Linked DNA regions of Coturnix japonica. The protein of the gene in region 2 interacts with the protein of the main gene of each other region in a pairwise test. Links are inferred from orthologs where the notes say so. Each region holds a gene or a part of one and is shown on either strand. Other genes may lie near its edges. The genes, in order: OLFM1 and TRAF3IP1.

The links.
Region 1: the proteins of TRAF3IP1 (region 2) and OLFM1 interact in a two-hybrid assay, tested with the Homo sapiens proteins (2 studies listed by BioGRID and IntAct). The link is inferred for Coturnix japonica from reciprocal best matches to the Homo sapiens genes TRAF3IP1 and OLFM1.

What each region holds. Positions count from the first base shown.
Region 1 is NC_029532.1:6,128,840-6,131,801, reverse strand, and holds the end of OLFM1 (noelin), read right to left. Parts: intron 2,598-2,962; coding exon 1,923-2,597; 3' UTR 767-1,922; downstream 1-766. UniProt on the Homo sapiens protein: Contributes to the regulation of axonal growth in the embryonic and adult central nervous system by inhibiting interactions between RTN4R and LINGO1. Inhibits RTN4R-mediated axon growth cone collapse.
Region 2 is NC_029522.1:3,278,886-3,282,712, forward strand, and holds part of TRAF3IP1 (TRAF3-interacting protein 1), read right to left. Parts: intron 2,890-3,827; coding exon 2,799-2,889; intron 1,837-2,798; coding exon 1,750-1,836; intron 1,216-1,749; coding exon 1,095-1,215; intron 947-1,094; coding exon 910-946; intron 308-909; coding exon 231-307; intron 1-230.

The DNA.
Region 1 (2,962 bases), on a different chromosome or scaffold from region 2:
ACTTGAAAAGTAATGCATACCATTAACTGTATGACCATATGGCATCCATTTATAGAACATTGCACTACAGGCAAATAGGACAAAGGTACACCCCTTAAAGCACTTTTCTCATCTCATTAACTTTGGGTACAAGTTACAGGAAAGCTGCTCTGCCTTTGTTGTGTTCAAGGACGTTTTGTGCTGTTGAGTCTCGTATTAAATGAATTGCACTAGGAAAATTAGAGTCTAAATGTAGCTGCGCCCTAAAGCAAACAGCATTATTTTGCCGTTTTGTAATTCAATTTACTTTTTGCAGATCAATATTTTGAAGTAAATTTGCTCTTTTGTCCTCAAACCTCGCCTAATGATAGAAGTGACTTTGGGTAATTAGGCGCATGAAGAGCTGCGCCGGCGCTCTGCCATTGTGCCATGCCTTGTATGTCAGCATACCCAAATAGTCACATCCATCTCCCCCTAAGTGCACAGTCTGGCTTGGATAACCAACAGGAGAGCCTACAGAAGTCCAAAAGAAGACCCATCAAATGCACAGGGAGACGCACACATCTTGCAAAGGGGCAAGAAATAGAGTATGCAAAACCCCATGGAGCCCAGTCTGTCCTACAGCTCTGACCCAGCCCTACATACAGGCCATGCAAGCAGAGGGCTCTGAGCTGGGAGCACACCCAACTTGCTGCAGCCATCACCCCAAAACCCCACAGCGACTCCTCTTATCCTCTCCCGCTGCACCTGGTTGCTCGTGCACAGAACACATAACGAACAAAGCGGGGAAGTCTCCTAATATTTTTATTGTTCCTTAGATAACTGTGGATAGTACAAAGTTTTCCTCTTTAAAAAAAAAAAAAAGAAAGAAAAGAAGTAATTACCTTCACACTTCCATAAACTGGGCTTCCCATGGGAATCTGACGGCACAGAATTTCCACACAGAAGCTATTTCCAACCACCATAATGCTATGTAGATATTATAACAGTAAGAGAATATTCTTGTCATTATCAACATGAAATTGGTTATCTGTGTATAAGGGTGAACACTGAGCTTTTTTTTTTTTGTTCTTTTTCTTTTTTTTTTTTTTTTCTTTTTAGAAACAAAACCATCATTTATTAATCCAAACTACATCATTGCATTTACAACATTCATTGCATAAACTGGACATACAAAGTTTCGCCACCTCTGGTAAATAACAGACATACATTATACAATATATTTGCTGAATACATAAGTTCAAACAATATGGGTACAACAACTTGTTCATAATACATACTTAAACCATCGTGTTTAATAGTTACTAAGACACAGATCCATGAGCTACTTCGGGTCTCAGCACAGTTAATCTAAGTGACAAGAACACAGTTGAGAGACAGTAGCTGCAATGGAAGGCGAATAAAACTAACCTGTGATAGGTCTTGTTCAGACAGCGAGAGCTCCTCACGGGTCAGCTTTCTGCTTAGAAATACAAATCACACATCCATCACAGCTGCCCGCGATGTCGGAAAATGTCCATGCAACCCCCACACAGAAGAGATCGAGTCTCCCAAGGATAAACTTCCAACAGTCATTGCCTTACTTCTTTTGTATGCGCTATAGGTTTGCTATCGGAACAGAAACAAAACAAAACCCCAAACTGAAGTGGTTCTCCAGGTGCAGTTCCAGCTGCAAGTACATGGTTAGTCATGAGTCCATAACACGGGGCCAGACTTCTAGAAATGTAGAGGTAATGCTGATCTGTCAGGTCTATGCTGAATAATCCTCTACAATGTTGGTCTTAATTTTGGCAGCTGTTTGTTTATTTACTTATTTAAAGTGTGTTTCCTCAATATTAGCATTTCTTTTTTATATTCGTTTCTCCCTTTTTTTTTTTTTTTCTTTTCTACATTTTTTTTTTCGTGTGTTTGTTTTCCTAAATCAGTTTCTAAACAAGGATGGACTACAACTCATCAGACCTGATGACGTGGAAGAGGGTGACATTGTAAAGTATTTGGTGCCCGTTGTTCCAGGCATAGAGGGCACGATCCTTGGGGTTGTAGTCCAACATGGAAATGTGCGAGTACTTGTTTTGGAACGGGATGTCGATGTATTCATAGGTAGAGGCATTGGTCTGGTAAGCATAGTGCACCTTGGTGCCTCCCGAATAGCCATTGGTGACATAGAGCGTGCCACAGATGATGAAGGCCTCCCCAGCGCTGCGTTTTGGGTAGCTGGTGTTCCAGGTCTGGAGGCTCTGCAGTGTGTTGGGATCCAGTTTGCTGATGACAATGTTGCCCGCATTCTGGTTGGTGGCATAGACAGCCCACAGCCCGTTCTCATCCACCATGAGGTCGATGTCCGAATGGCCGCCCCAGGCGTAGTGGTACATGTTGTTGTAGCCGGCATAATCCAGGCTGCGAGTCTTGAGAATAGTCTCTGTTTTCAAGTCAAACCTGATAATTATGTGGCTTTGGTATTTATTGAAGTAGATAGAGCCATTGTAGACCACTTGACCAGTGCCTGACCACGGGTGAGGGAGACGGTGAGAGGTAAAATTGTCGGTATTCATGAAATCCGCCATGGATTTGTATTCGCGGACAAAGCGGTTGTTGTGGTAGCTGTCCATGTACCAGACCTGGGCGAGCAACAGAAACACGTGGGGTTAGGGAACAGCTGAGACCTCCCATCAGAGAGGCAGTCATTTGCCTAGGATGCTAAACCCATAGTGAGCTGCTTGGGGCCAACCTCACTGAGACACGCATTGGAGAACAACACACCCAAAGCCTCCTGTGCCCAGAACAAACCTCAGGCTGCCGCCACAGACTCATTAGGGAATGGAGAGAATAGCACAGCTTTCCTGGGGGTAAGCTGGCATAGCCACAGGACCAACACTGTCCCTCCAGAGGGCAAGCAGCACCTTTCTGCAACTAAACCCTATGGAGATGCTGCCTTCCTCTCCTGTAAGCCCCATTACGATCCCACTCAGTAAATCACAGCAGC
Region 2 (3,827 bases):
TCCCTATGTTTTATAGGTAATTATAATGACTGATGATCGGTTGATATTACCAGAGGACAATTAAGATTGAAACAATAATTAATTACGTAGCTGCATAAATGCAGTGTGTGCCTTATTGCATCTATGGCAAGGCTGAGATCAAGCAGGCTAAAAAGGACTACTAAATGCTGTATGAAACCACGTTACAATATATAATAACCACAATTTCTTGCAGGCTATTTCCATCTTACTTTTTCTGTCGTCTTAGATGATTTTTGTGATGCTTCATAATCCTTTTTTGTTTCCAGGATTCTTTTCACAAGTCCACCTGGAGAAAATGAGGATATTTCTCAGAACATGATTCTAAACATTCAAGACAATAACATCAAACCCAACATGAACAGTATTCCATTGTATTTCAATTACTGAGATACAAGATACTTTAAATTTATTTTTCCACTGTCTTATCTGCATACACATGCACATGTGTATACACAGATAGCAATCTGCTAATAATTTATTGGTACAGAGAAATAAGCCTCCCTAAATCACATCCAGTGTGGCCACAATGGACTGAAGGCCCTGAATCAGATATCAGAGGTCACAAGTAAGCATAACCATTGCCATGAACCAGACAATCAATTTTCCTAGAAGCTTTTCTCTAACTTGCCTTGACCAGCCAACCCCTTCACTTATCTCAAAGAGACATACAGAAGATACATGTTTGACATCAGCTGTAAATCCCTCTGCTCGGCTATACAAGACTTCATTTGAGAAACATTTGCCGTGTTCTTGCAAAGTTGCAAGGTTCTGCTCCATCAAAAGGTATTTTGCTGCTGTATTCCCCATTGCAAGAGCTTAGTACTTGGTTTAAACTTGTGGCTTTACTCTTATGTATATGCATACAAATACATACAAAAGCAAACATACCATGCTTCTCATCCTCCACCAGATCCACTTCTGGCTCCTAAACATGCAGGGAGAGAGCTTTAGTTGGAAAAACTTGGTATTACTACAATATAAAATTATTCAACAACATGTCCAGCTAGAAGCTACTTAAACAAGCAAGCTACAAAGGCTGAGAAAAGGTTCTATAATTTATAACATTAACAAACCATTTCCAGCTCTGGCATTTCAGGCACGGGCAAGGCTGCCTCCACCACAAACTGGTCATCATCATCATCAGAAGCCTGCTGGTCTATGATCACATTTGAGACTGCCTTAGCACTACCGTTCCTGATAAGAGATGAAACGAACATGAAAACCTATTAAGTTTTTAGGCCCAATCCCATTCAGATCTATCCCCTCACCTCCTTCCATAAAATAAAGCAGCACACCAAATTCCTTCACTGCCATTACTCCTGAATACACTGCTTTAGTGCTTGACACTTATTTGACATCACCTGCAAGACATTTTGGCCATAAATTCAAGGGGCTGTTTCAGCCTTTTTTTGAGCATGAGATACACTACATGCCTTACAGATCTCTTATATTGATAGTTAAGATTAATATTCCAGGCTTACCTGTTTGAAAGTTCCCAGTGACAAAAAAATTAATCAAATTGTATCTATCATTGAACTTCCTTATGTGGCCACTAACTGTAACTTCTAAATAATACACTGGATTTGCAGAAAGGCTTGAGTTTTCCTGCCTGAATCAGTAGGGTGACTCATCCTGATGCTATTCACTGGCACAGGGTGAACACAACATCTTAGAATACTGTGGCGTAAAAGCCAACAGCATCTTTTCTGCATCACCCACACTTCTCACCTTTCTGAAAGCAAAGCCTCCGTGCTTTCTTGGCGTTTCACTACTCGGGGTGGTGCTGGCCTTGCACTGCCAGGACGAGGAATACGTCTGCAAGAAAAAAGACTTTTCACCTACACTGTAAAAGGAAGCATAAAACCAATGGAAACATCCCCAGAGTAGAATCCTATATGGCAATACCTTCTGACCTAGTAGGAGTCTGAGAAAACCTAACAAGTGTGACCTTCAACAAGAATAGTATCATTTTGGGTAAAACCACCTCTTAGTTTGTCTCACTAAAAATAATCTGGATACTGCACAGTTAACTAGCAATAACAGCAAAAGGAAAAAGTATATTTCCATAAGTAATACAATTACAGTAGCTTATTTCTGGGCAAAGAAAAAGTAAACTGGGATTTGAAAGTCAAGTTCATCTTATCCCTAACACCATACTTCTGAAGTGATGCAACAGACTCAGACTCTTCACAGATCACTCTTAATATAATAAGATTACATCAAGGCACTTTTTGGATTAAGAATGCACATCCAAGACATGAAGTTTCCTTCGTAGAAGGAAATGAAAACAAATAAAATGAACCGTACATGGGATAATATTCATTATTGCACGCCACAAGCACAAACTGCTTCACATTCCCTTGCTATTTTCCAATTGACGGTTGTAATGTTATAATGGGATGGAAAGTACTAGGATAATAGCAGGGTGGCAAAGTCTTTGGCTACAGCAAATGAGAACAAGCCCAAGCACAGCAACCACAGAAACAAAAATGAAGGAAAAGAGCTGCTTGCCTTTGAATGGCCTCAAACACACAGGGAACTCCAGCAAAAAACACCCTCATCTCCACTGCCAACCCTTAAATGAGGTCTGGGAAGGGGTGGATCCTGGCTCCAGCCCTTCCAATCACTCAGACACACTGCATGCTCCTGAGCTCCCTTAGGCTGGCCCTGCCTTCCCACCAGGTGCTCAATCACTGCTTCAGCATTTCCACTACAACCATGTGACCTCCAGACACCACTGGTGCTTCACTCAGACAGAATAAAGAACAGGAACCAACCTTTGGATAGCCTGAGGTGGAAGATCATTGGGTGCTTCATCGTTTTCAGATACAGCAGGTTTTTCAGGATCAAGGTTCTCTGCTTCATCTTCTATTCAATAGAAAAAAATGTAATAGTGGCTTACCTGCCACGTAGAAAATGCAAATCTAATTCTTTACAACAGTATTTCAAGCCTTATCAACATTATACTTTAATGTGTTAATGAAATTAATCATATGACAAACTAAGTGCAACTCTACAAGCTTTATATATCCAAGGACTCAGCTGATTTCTTGCTCTCACTGCATCTTGATGTCTACCACACATGTTGCTTACAAGATAGAAAGGAGAATTTCACCCTCACCATTCACCACTGCCCCAGTTATCTGCTGCTGTAGGAAAGGTTTTGTGAATCGCTTTTAACATGAGCTGAACCCACAAATACAAGTAATGGGAGGAAAAAAAAAATGTCATGTGCAGGCATTAAGAAAATGGAAATGGTACGTTTTAAAGTGGTTGTTGCAATAACTACCTGTGACAAGAAGTTCCCCACAGGATCTGCTTCAAGTTAAAAAAAAAAAGAAAAAAGTAGTAATAGTTTATGACCATTTTATGTCCTTAGGTTTCTCTCCCCTTCGGAAAGCACTTAACCTGAATTACAAAGCACTTGCACAGATTGCTTTTTGGTATTCTCTTTACTAACAACGACCTGAATAAGGTCTACTAAGAGCATGCAAACACAACCAAATTGCATTTTGCTACAGTCCTTTTTCTTTCTTAATCTTTAGCATATAGCATAAGTCTAAGAAAAACCCTCACTAAATTGCAGAAGTGCTTTATTTATTAAAAAGCACTGTTTAATTTCTAGTAGAAGATTTAGCTATCCCTGGTTCCTTCACTACAAGGTCACTAGCAAATACATCTGGAAATAGTAAACAAATTGGTTTTTCAGAGATGAATTCCTTAAAAATAGTCTGACCAAATGAGACATGAAAAATACAACCAAGAACCAAGAACTACCAGCAGCTTCTTGCTGAGATCTACTGCCA